Linked DNA regions of Nothobranchius furzeri. The protein of the gene in region 2 interacts with the protein of the main gene of each other region in a biochemical or structural test. Links are inferred from orthologs where the notes say so. Each region holds a gene or a part of one and is shown on either strand. Other genes may lie near its edges. The genes, in order: mpp1, abcc4 and pdzk1.

What was found.
Region 1: the proteins of abcc4 (region 2) and mpp1 form a complex in vitro, tested with the Homo sapiens proteins (2 studies listed by BioGRID and IntAct, with this or other methods). The link is inferred for Nothobranchius furzeri from reciprocal best matches to the Homo sapiens genes ABCC4 and MPP1.
Region 3: the proteins of abcc4 (region 2) and pdzk1 form a complex in vitro, tested with the Homo sapiens proteins (2 studies listed by BioGRID and IntAct, with this or other methods). The link is inferred for Nothobranchius furzeri from reciprocal best matches to the Homo sapiens genes ABCC4 and PDZK1.

The regions. Positions count from the first base shown.
Region 1 is NC_091750.1:51,669,182-51,672,831, reverse strand, and holds part of mpp1 (55 kDa erythrocyte membrane protein), read left to right. Parts: intron 1-1,813; coding exon 1,814-2,010; intron 2,011-2,092; coding exon 2,093-2,196; intron 2,197-2,266; coding exon 2,267-2,347; intron 2,348-2,431; coding exon 2,432-2,512; intron 2,513-2,588; coding exon 2,589-2,791; intron 2,792-2,903; coding exon 2,904-2,978; intron 2,979-3,067; coding exon 3,068-3,244; 3' UTR 3,245-3,650. UniProt on the Homo sapiens protein: Essential regulator of neutrophil polarity. Regulates neutrophil polarization by regulating AKT1 phosphorylation through a mechanism that is independent of PIK3CG activity.
Region 2 is NC_091754.1:57,277,863-57,281,512, reverse strand, and holds part of abcc4 (ATP-binding cassette sub-family C member 4), read right to left. Parts: intron 2,635-3,650; coding exon 2,488-2,634; intron 2,420-2,487; coding exon 2,340-2,419; intron 2,208-2,339; coding exon 2,057-2,207; intron 1,982-2,056; coding exon 1,862-1,981; intron 1,788-1,861; coding exon 1,677-1,787; intron 1,606-1,676; coding exon 1,505-1,605; intron 1,435-1,504; coding exon 1,243-1,434; intron 1,170-1,242; coding exon 1,014-1,169; exon of another isoform or gene 979-1,013; intron 926-978; coding exon 836-925; intron 1-835. UniProt on the Homo sapiens protein: ATP-dependent transporter of the ATP-binding cassette (ABC) family that actively extrudes physiological compounds and xenobiotics from cells.
Region 3 is NC_091754.1:24,604,836-24,609,188, forward strand, and holds the start of pdzk1 (Na(+)/H(+) exchange regulatory cofactor NHE-RF3), read right to left. Parts: upstream 2,870-4,353; 5' UTR 2,779-2,869; intron 593-2,778; 5' UTR 589-592; coding exon 382-588; intron 313-381; coding exon 99-312; intron 1-98. UniProt on the Homo sapiens protein: A scaffold protein that connects plasma membrane proteins and regulatory components, regulating their surface expression in epithelial cells apical domains.

The DNA.
Region 1 (3,650 bases), on a different chromosome or scaffold from region 2:
GCACAGCCTTTTTATCCCAGGTGTGGCTCATCAGGAGGATTCAGTTCAGCTGTGCTCCTCAGCAGCCTGGAAGAGAGGAGGAGGAGGGGCGGTGTCCAGTCAATCACCAGAGCTGGGTGATCCTGGCTGCTTTTTCCCCTCTTCAGGCTGGCAGCCGTGACAACGCAACAAAAAATCACTACGCGCAAAAACAAATTCACTAAATGCACCAAAAAATCACTAAGCGCATAAACAAATTCACTAAATGCACCAAAAAATCACTAAACGCACAACAAATTGAAAAGCACAACAAAAAATTGAAAAGCACAACAACAAATTCACTAAACACAAAACCAAATTGAAAACCACAAAAACAAAAAACAAACCGGAAAAGGTAGGTACCAATGCTGCAACAACAGGCATCACTGATTGGATGATGGATCCGTTGGCCTTTTGAATCGGAAGTTGTTCTGCCGAACGTGGTTATGTGAAAGAGCAGTCAGCGGGTGTGTCCGAATCCACAGGCCGGGTCCTTGCCAGACCGCTAAGCGATTTGTTTTTGCGCTTTTCAATTTGTGTTTGCGTTAAGTGATTTGTTTTTGTGGTTTGCACTTCAGGGCCACCGTAGCCTTGATCTACGGTCGCCATGTCATTGGTGGAGCGCTGCAACAGCCGGCTTATGTATATGCATGAGATCCACAAGGCACTTTGCATTGACTATTTATGGCAGTAAGTGGGCGTGGTGAGGGTGGGATGTGACTAAAAAGCAGCTGAGAACCTTTCTAGATAGTTTCTGATTTATGAAGCGGAGATTGCGTGCAGCTGTGCGTTCTCCATGTTTGATAGATCACAAACCTACTTGGCGTAAGTACATTTGTTTTGCTGAGCTTAAGTACAGTTTTAGTAAGGATTCTACGCAATGTTTGATAAATGAGACCCCAGGTCTTTTCTCGTAAACAGGTTCAAGTCTAAGTCAAGTCCCAAGTCACTGGTATATAAAAAACAAGTCTTTAAACATTTTTCAAGTCAAGTCTAAAATCATCAAATCTGTGACTCAAATCTGACTCGAGTCCAAGTTACATGACTCAAGTCCAAGTTACGCGAATCAAGTCCAAGTCACGTGACTCCAGTCCACAGTTCTGAGGCAAAGCATTCAGAATCTGAGCAAATCTGAGTCAGGAGGGCGAGAAACTAAGAAATTTCCCCAAAATTCCTGAGTTCTCAACTGAAGTGAACTCGCACATGTCCTTTGATTATTACATAATCAATAGATATATAAATAAGTAAGTAAAACATGCATTTTACTTCCCATTAGAGCATATATCTGAGGAAGACATAGAGACACTTATATCCATCCCTTGCTGCAGGATTTTCTATAAATTCTAAGTAAAAAAAAAAGTCAGAAATCTGTTGCATTAATTTTCTTGCGGGGATCCCAGCCATTGAGGAATGTGGTTGTAGTAATTCACCTGTGGGTGGAGTATGCATGTTCCATAATCTGTGACAGTTTAGGAATGTTTTGTATTAAAATTAAATTCTAATAATCAATGAGACTGAAGTCTACATTTGTCAAACCAATTCATGCTTTTATTATTCATTATGAAACAGTTTTAGTGTTCTGCAAGAAGCTGTCATGATCATTTGGCATTATGCTCTACCCGTGGGTGATTTTAACTTTTGTCTTTGATAGAATCCAAATAACAAGGAAATGTCTGAAGTCTGTATTAGACTACTTTATTTCCTAAAGGTGGTATTTGTGCAGAAACGATTAAATATTCTTATTACACAAAATATTTAGTATCTCTGCTCCACATGTCCTGATCCTTATCCACAGACATACATGAGAGCTCAGTTTGATTATGACCCAACCAAGGATGACCTCATCCCATGCAAAGAGGCTGGCCTAAAGTTTCAAACTGGAGACATCATCCACATTATTAACAAGCAGGATCCAAACTGGTGGCAGGGCAGAGTGGAGAGCAGCGGTGTGGACTTTGCTGGACTGATACCTTCCCCAGAGCTCCAAGAGTGGTAGAGATACGCATCATTTCTGATTAGTGGTCCTGCAGAGCTGAAGATGCATATACAACTTCATGTGCCTGTTTCTTTGCAGGAGAGTGGCCAGTAAAAGCAAGGCCAAGGAGGGAAGTCAGTCCTGCAGCCCGTTTGGAAAGAAGAAGAAGTGCAAGGACAAATATCTCGCTAAGCACAGCTCAAGTGAGAGGATTACTGGACCCAAGTTTACACCCCAGTGCAAGTTTATCTAAACATGATCATTTGTCTGCAGTTTTTGACCAACTGGATGTGATTTCCTATGAAGAGGTGGTGAGGCTCCCTGCTTTTAAAAGAAAAACTCTGGTGCTTATCGGTAAGCTGTCTTTCTCAGGGACATAAGAGGAAACTTGCTTCATCGCAAATTGAATGAATGAGCTCTTAACTTTGCTCTTCTCAGGAGCACCTGGTGTGGGAAGGAGCCATATCAAAAATGCACTGTTGATGAGATACCCTGAGAAATTTTCCTACCCTGCACCACGTAAGTAGGATGTTTTTGTTCTTACAGCGAAGCTAGGTTTGCAAAAATCTTCATTTCAAACACTGAATTTGCACAGACACAACCAGACCCCAGCGGAAGGACGAGGAGAACGGACATGAATATTACTTCATGTCCAATGAAGACATGACCAAGTGCATCTCCAAAAACGAGCTGCTGGAGTACGGAAGCTTCCAGGGATACATGTTCGGTACCAAATTCGAGACCATCCAAAAGATCCACGATCAAGACAAGATTGCTGTGCTGGATGTGGAACCACAGGTCAGAACGGACAAACAGAAACACTATGCTCACATTTTTGACTTTGTAATGGACACTTCTGGAATATTTAGTGCCCAGGGTGTAATTGATTTGTTTGTAAATCTTCCTACAGACCTTAAAACTTGTGCGGACAGCTGATTTCGCCCCCCTGGTGGTGTTTATAGCTCCCACCAACACCGCCACACAGGTGCCACAACATCACACGATAAACACCTTTTTTTAAAAACATCTAAATCAACGAGCCAATAGCTAAACTTCCTGTTTCCTCTCTCTTAGACGGAAAACCTTCAGATGATCCAGAAAGAGTCGGACGCCATCCTGGGCACGTACGGACACTTCTTTGACGTGGTTCTTGTCAACAACGACGTGGATGAGAGCGTTAAAGGGGTAGAGGAGGCCATGGAGCACGCCACCTCCACCCCCCAATGGGTGCCTGTGTCGTGGGTGTACTAAAGAATGCCAGTATCACTCCAAACGCCAAAACCTCTGAGTCAGCAGCGTCCCAGGTGTTTTCCTTTTGGATGTTGTCACTGAGATTTTATTGCACAAATGCAGTTTAAAGAAAAAAAGCAATATTTAGAAAGCTTTATGACAGAAGGCTGAGATGTTTCACCAGGTGGTTTAAACATTTTTGGAGGCTAGGAGCTAGCTTTTGGTGCCACATACCTTAAGAATATTCTGAAATGCAAAACAGGACCATGACTGTGAAATAAATCGCCATTAGATTTTCATTGTCTCTGGTTTTCCCATTTGTCATTACATTAGCTATGGCGAGGACTAGGATTCTGACACTTGTTGCTCATGCTGTCTGTGTAACTTCACCTTACAATCAACCACTGACCGGGTCCTTAAAGGCACT
Region 2 (3,650 bases):
CAGTGTTACTAATGTCCGTGGACGCCTTCTGGCGCTGATCAGTGACATCACTCAGTGCTGAAGCAGTCGTGATGTGCTGCTGACGTCTGAAAGTCCTGAAAGGGTCGATTTTATAAGGAGAGGGCCGAGCCATCGTAGTTCCTCCTCCCCGACGATTCCTGGAATGGGGCTAAAGAGGTGGTAAAACCAAGCGAGTGTAAACACACGTGATGTGGGAGTGATTTTGTCGTGGAGTGTTTAAAATGGCGAAATCACAAATCTCCTCTTTGGTCAGATCTTTTGAAAAAATCATTTTTGGTACCGCTTGGGACATTAGCTACATGCTAACGCAGTGAAACAGCTCCTACGTCATCGCTCTACCGCGTTTTTCTTGCTAATAGCACCTGGAAAAACTCTGTTAGCTTCGGGTTAGCATGTAGCTAATGTTCTGCAGATCACCAGCTGTGGAGTAGTGTCGGCCCAAGCTGGCCCACCGGGACAGTGCCAGAATGCCAGATGGGCCAGTCCACCCCTGGGCACAGACCGACAAACCGAGGCGGGCCGGGTCACACGTGGAGCCCGTTGGTAAGCTGCACAACTCATTTATGAAATCGCACGACGGTACGTTCACCCCGCCTGCCAAACCGAAGCGATCTCCTGAAACTGCGGACCCGTGCTGGTCCACACCGACCGACCCGTCCCAAACCCAGAAGCTCTGAGAACTTTGATTAGACCCTAAAGCCGCCATTTTACTCTCAGCTGATGCTCGAACGCGTCTGTGAGACGAGTATTCGGAACCTTTACAGAGACACATCCTTTAGTTTACAAACAAAAGCAGAACCGGGCTGCCTCGGACCTCCTGCAGGGCGTTCCACAGCTCTTCATCTGAGTGTTGGTTGAACGGGTCCAGGTTCTTCCTCATGGAGCCCGTGAACAGAACCGGGTCCTGGGACACAAACACAAGAGCTATGTTTCATCTAAGTGGTTCTTTAGTCTCACGTTCTACCGTTGGACTCGTTCCTCCTCCTGCGGACCTGAGGAATGATGGACATCTTCTGCCGCAGGTCGTGGAGTCCGATCTCAGACGTCACCACTCCGTCGATGTAGATCTTCCCCTGAGGTTCTGCCAGGCGGAACAGAGCCGAGATCAGGGAGCTTTTCCCGGCTCCGGTTCTCCCAACGATGCCCACCTGACAAACGGAGAACATCAGGTTCTGTCCAACCTCTGGGACCAGCTGTTCTCCACAAACAAGCATGTCCAACCTTCTCTTTGGGTTTGAATGTGGCCTGCAGGTTCTGCAGCACCGGCGGCCCGTCTGGGCTGTAGGAGAAGCTGACCCGGTCAAAGGTCACCAGGCCTTTGGTGGGCCAGCCTGGAGGAGGGCGCTTGTGCGTTTCCCAGGGAGCTTCACTCTCCAGCTGCGTGTACTCCACCACCCGCTCCACCGAGGTCATCTGCAAGCAGAAACAGCTTACAGCCTCCGAACGTCTGAGGAGTTCTACCGGCGCGTCTGAAGGTTCTCACCATGTTCTCCACCTCTGCACTCTGCCTGACGCCCCACTGGAACATCCCCATCAGCGTGACGGCGTAGCTCAGCGCCAGCCCGACAGAACCGGCGTCCAACTCTGAAAACACAACTCTGCTCAGAGACTCTGGCTCCCCCTAGTGGCCCACAGCAGAAACTAGGGATCCTTACGGTCTCGCAGCAGCAGGCAGCCAAACACGGTGATGGTGACGAAGATGGAGCACATGATGTCGAGGCGAAAGGCGAACCAGCGGGAGGTGGTCAGGAACAGGAACCAGGCCTCTGTTCAGAACCAGAGAGTCAGAACACAGACGGGACAAACGGACCAGAGTCTGAGATCTGAGGGGAGGGGGGACCTGAGTGAAGGTCCTGGTGGGCGTCAAAGGCTTTCTGGAACCTCTTCTCAGCGCAGAACGCTCGTATCGTCCACAGGCCCTGAAGAGACGAGGACAGGTGGGAGAAGACAGGACTCCGAGCTGTGGGACAAAGAGACATTTGAGACGCCGGAACAGCTTAAATCTGGACTCTGAACCCACTCAGGGGACGCTCACTGGTGGACTCCAGACGTTTGACATCTCTGGAGGTTCTCAGGTAGTAACGTCGCAGGAACAGGAACACTCCGAGGAGCGGGACAACAGGGATCAGAATCCACGGGATCACAGAGGACGCCACGGCGATCACGCCGAGAATCTGGAGGAAGACCTGCTCAGAGGGACGAACGAGGTCAAACGCGTCCAGGATCTTGTTCCTCGACACAAAAACTCTAAAGTCTTAAATATCGTTTCGTCACGATTCTCAGAGTTCTAAACCACGACAGGTTCTGTGTGTCCCCACCTGGACAAAGTCCGTAAACGTCCACGGCATCATAGAGTCCAGCTGCCCGATGTCCTTGGAGAACCTGTTGAGGACTCTTCCTGCAGTGAGACGGAACGTTAGCGGGGGCCGTATCCTCCCGGCGTCTCCAGACCTGAGCTCGACTTACCGATGGGATTGATGTCGAAGAAGCGGACGGGAGTTCTGAGGATGCAGCTGAACATCCGGTCGTGGAGCGTCTGAGCTCCTCTCACCAACACGCCGAACAGCAGAAGGTTCCTCATGAAGCCAAACAGGATGGTGGCAGCCGTCAGGCCTGAGTAATGGAGTAGGAGTCACTGATCAGCAGAACTGAAGGAGCTCACAGAGCAGACGCAGTGGCGCAAAAAGTGGGTATGCAGTGTATGCGACGCATAGGGGCGCCGCGCTGGTGGGGGCGCCTAAGCAACAATGGGGGAAAAGGGCATCTTTGTGTTTCATAGCCATTTGTGCAGCAAGCAATTGGGCGCCCCTCCGCAGCCCTGCTCCACACCCCCGCCCTACACACACACACACACACACACACACACACTCAGAACATGAACACTCTTGACGAGTTCAGCGCGTGCGCCCGCGAAAACGCACTAGGGCACGATTGTTTTCATTTGAATGATATCTACTGTCTTCTGATCAGCTAGCTAGGTTAGCTAGAGATGGACAGACTGAAAAAAAAGCTCTCTGGGGCACAAAACAGAAAACGGAAGAGGGAAAAGGAAAATGATTTTGTAGAGATCCTCTCGCAAGAAGGCATAGTTATTCCTAGGGATGTGTATTGGTGAAATTCTGGCGATACAATACGTATTACGATACAGGGGAGACGATACAATATATCACGATATATTGCGATACATTCAGTCAGACGATATTGGCGATTTTCTTTTAGACTAAATTTATTATAGGAAAATTCAATAAACAGTCCAAACTGATACTTAACATGTTTAACCATAACAGAGGGATTTACATTTCAATGGTGGAAACAAAACCCATTACACACTGCTGCCAACTAGTGGTCGGCGTTTGAATTGCACCACAAGAAAAGAAAATACACAAATGTTTCCATGTAAATTCTTCCAAAAATTAGATATGCGACTTTTGAATATCGATACATTTTTGCAAGAAAAAATATCACGATATATTGCGATATCGATATTTTTGATACACAGCTTTTTAATATCGATATAATATCGCTGGGGAAAATATCACGATATATTGCCATAATCGACATTTTCTTACATCCCTAGTTATTCCTATTAGCTGAAGTTGTTAGCCTGCCACTAGTAAAATGACAGGTTA
Region 3 (4,353 bases), about 33 Mb from region 2:
TTGCATAAACATTTAAATACTGCTAACATTGACTTAGACTTTAAGTTGCAATCTTGAGAATTGTAGATTTTCTTTAACCCTTTACAAATGTACCTTACCTTTAAATGAGCTAATGGAAAACCCAAATCCTGACTTAGATTTGACCAGGTAGCAGAGTTTGGGCTTCCAATCTTCTTTAGCCAATCCGTTGGCAATGGGTGAGCTTTGAGGGTCGGAGAGGTTCACTCCGAGTGTTTTTGCTTGATTGTAAGACGATTCATCCAGAATGTGGAATGTGACAGATGCTCCACTGTTTCTCACCAGCTCCACCACCTAGTAGAGGGACACCATGGAAATTCACTGCTGGTGATTGGATCTGCTGTGTATCTACATTCTGCTCACCTCTGAATGGGTAAGCCCATCGACAAATTTTCCATTGACCCGAAGGATGCGGTCTCCATCTTTCATACCAGCCAGTTCAGCTGGACCTCCCATTTCCAGGCAGCGAATCAGGTGGCCCTCCTTACTTTGCTCCACCCTCAGAAAGAAGCCAAATGTCTGACCAGGCCTCTTGGCCAGGGAGATCACCCTTGGCGTGTACGTGGCCATTGTCCTAACATGAACAAAGAAATAATAAACGGTACTTAACAGAGATGCAAGAAAATGTTGAGACAATGTAATATCGCAATATTCTGTATGTATTGTACTTCTTTTGTGTGGTGCAATTCAAACTCCGGCCGCTAGGTGGCAGCAGCTTTTACTGCCTTCATTCTGACAAACCAGCGAGATCTCACAATAATACTGAATGTGTCTTGGAAGCATTTGGCCTCAGTTTTCAAATAAAACTGTTTTAACATCTGCAAATATTGTCAGCTTTTAACTTCACAGTAAATCATATCGTCTCCCTTGTATTGCACACACACACACACACACACACACACACACACACACACACACACACACACACACATATATATATATATATATATATATATATATATATATATATATATATATATATATATATATAGTTAAGTCTTAGGCGTAAGGGGTGGGGGGACAACCGAGGACCAGCGGGAATCTTTTCAGTATGTTCTAATGGGAAACAGGCTTCAACACAAACAGTTGTTTTCCACTTGGTCCTAGAGCTCAACCAGTGTCTACTTAATATAGAGTAATATTGTTTTTGGACGATAAAAAGTGCAGGGGTCAAAACATGACTTTGGCAAAAGTGTGCGTGGGTGTGGGGTGTGTGTGTGTGTGGGGGGGGGGGGGGTGACATGCCCCCCCCCCCCCCCCCCCCAACCACACACACACACCAAAATTTATATCCATGCATGGATTCACCCATCTTGACTCGTGATGGGGAAGGCTGTTGTTGGTTTAGCATCCAGGAATCAGCAGAGAACGTCTTGGCTAGTGGAATCTAGTTAGCATTAGCAACTCCACCACACAGCAGAACTCCTTCAGGGTTGAGTTATTTGTGGAGATAAAACGTTAACTTTTGTCACGTTGCTGTTAGCCAATCCAATGCAAGATGACCAAATATCAGGAAATAAAACTACTAATCTTGTTGTCTGAAGCTACTTTCTCCTTCAGCTTACTTCTCTGTGCTGAAACAGGAGCATCATAAATTAGAATCCATTTCTTTCTGCTAGAGATCATTGCCGATGCATTGATTAACTGAGTGTTCCACACCTTTAAAGTGTCAATAAATTTGACCAAGCCAGTTAAGCCTTAGACTTATTTTGGTTTTAGAGCTTTGAGATTGGAAAATGCAATCGAACTTAAACAGCTGTTTTTCCCCTTTACATTTGTTGACGATCATAAATTAGTTCACCTTGTAATCTATTGTGCTACGCATTAAGCATATTTATCAGAGTGGATACTTCAGCACATAAAGACGTGACAGAAGTGCTGATAGAGGATGAAAAGTTACTCTTCCATGACAACAGGCATGTAATGATTTGCAGGACACACAGCTGACAGTGAAATAAAAATCACTGGACTTTGAATCCAAATTAAGGGTTGTGGGTTTAACTCTCAGCGGGATGCTATAAAAGGCAGGTGTGCTTATATTAAAAACGCAAACACTCATGTCTTAAACGAGATTCATTGCAACGTTTAAGAAATTTGTAAATTAATAAAAACTTTGGGTTTGTTTTCATGATGTATTAAATACAAAATGTATTTTAATTAGTTTTAACTATTTCAATGTATAATTTAGGCAATTAAATAATTAAAAACACACTAATAACAACTTAAAATAGAGTTATGACCTTTATCTTAGAGTTAAAAAGGTGTAATATTTATTTTATCCTTATAAAAGAAATGTTTAGCTGTATGCTTCATTTGACTTTATTAATCTTGTTTTTTTTACTTGTGCTTACAGCTGAAGTATTGATACAACTATTAAAAGTTTAATAGTTATTTAAAAGCGGTACATATTTGTAATGTGGTTATAAAGTTTACGTCGTATTAGATTTGATTTTAACAGCTTTTTCACCAAAATATAAAGCTAGTTTAATATTAAGAGCCCCAAAGAAGTAGATTATTCTGTTCAATACTTAAAAATTGGAAAATAATATCAATAAACCCAAAGCAACAAACAGTGATAACACCGTTTTTAACTTGTTGATATTTTTTCACCTGTTAAAGTATCAGAGGTTTTCCAGCAAATGATTAAACGTGTTCTTTAATCTCCACAGGAAACCTTTATGAATCTTAAAATTTCCCCAAATTTATTTAAAAAAAAGTATAACAATAAAAAATAAAGAGTAAAATAAACATTTCACTCACCGACTCTCCTCTGTTGAGTGTCTGCGTCTAAAGGGGGAGCTCACCTGTCACTGATTAGCTGTTATGGCATCTTAAACCTGCACTCCCCCCTCCCCACCTCCCTAAGGGACTTTGACAGGTCAAAGTTCAGCCTAAAGAGTTATTTAACAACGTCTTGTGTCATGAGTGTCTGAGGCTCTTTGCAGTCTGTCGAGTGCGAGCAGTCATCTATTTATTTTTCAAAGTTTGCAGCAGGTGGCTGCTGAACAGCCATGTTCACACATCATAGTCAGAATCCACAAGACTGCATCCTGTTTATGTTTATTTATCTAAAATTCATGAATAAAACACACAGAAGAGGCCATCAGCCATTAAGATTAAGAAAACATACTTAGTATCTGATTTATGAAAGTTTATGTTGTGGAAAAACAACATTTAGCAAAAATAAATGTCCAATTAAATTCAATATGGATATTTTTTATTATATTTTCATGTGTGGTTTATTTATTTTTTATTACTTTTATTAGTTTGATTTAGATAATCTCTAGCACTCAGTGAAGAGAACGAGGATTTATTTCACAGAGGTTTTATTGTAGTTTGTCATGTACGTACTCCGTCTACAAGGTTTTTTATGATGTTCCCAGTAAACGTGGGTGTATTGTTTATTGTTACTGTAGCTGTAGGTATGAAGGTCTTGTACTGCTGTCATATGGACTGGACAAAGGTGTGTTTTTACAGAAACGTGTCATAAATGTCAAATTCTAGGAGCAAGCATGAGGACTTGGACACTAGGGGACTTCATAATAGCATCTCAAATATTTTAAAATAAAGGTAAGCAATAACTAAAATTACAAATTAAATTAAATGAATCATGAAGGAAATAATCATCTGTCTTTACCTTATTTGTGGCTGATATAGGACATTTTTTTCTAAACTAGATGGAAACTTTTATTTTCATTTTGATTCTGCTTTAGTAAAATATCAAATGATTCTAAAAAAATAAACTTCTTATGCATGTTGGAAAAACACTGATTCTGTTATAAGCTCTAAATCATATTCAGTGCATTGATTTCTGTCAGAAAACCTTTGAGTTGGCACATTTTCTTTATTTTTTTGGCACACTGCTGCCCTTAATAGGGCATTACCACTAGAAGCATTAAGGCACATTGATAGAAATTAGTCGCTGATGGTGGAAAGATGCAAGGGCATCCATTATCCAGGTTCCGGACAGCCTGCAAGAATGTGGATCACATTACAGCCTCCTGTTCTATGCTGTAAGAAGTGCAGCACAAACTGCACACAGTCAAAAGTGTCTCTTTCAAATTTACAAGGGAAAACTGTTAAATTAGGCATTTTACTCCTTTTTGCATTGAGCAGTAACAAAGTAAATGGTCATGATCAGTTCCTGGGTTCCTGTCAGTACTGTTTAGCACTCAGATCTTTAGAAGAATGCTTGTGATTTTATTTTATTTTTTTATTTTTTTGCTTCCTACAATCAAACTAAATGTGGCTAACTTGACTTTTTTGCAGGATTTACATGCCAGTAAGGTTAGACAGAACAACAGCCTGCTAGAGTTTATGTCCAGAGATGTTGGC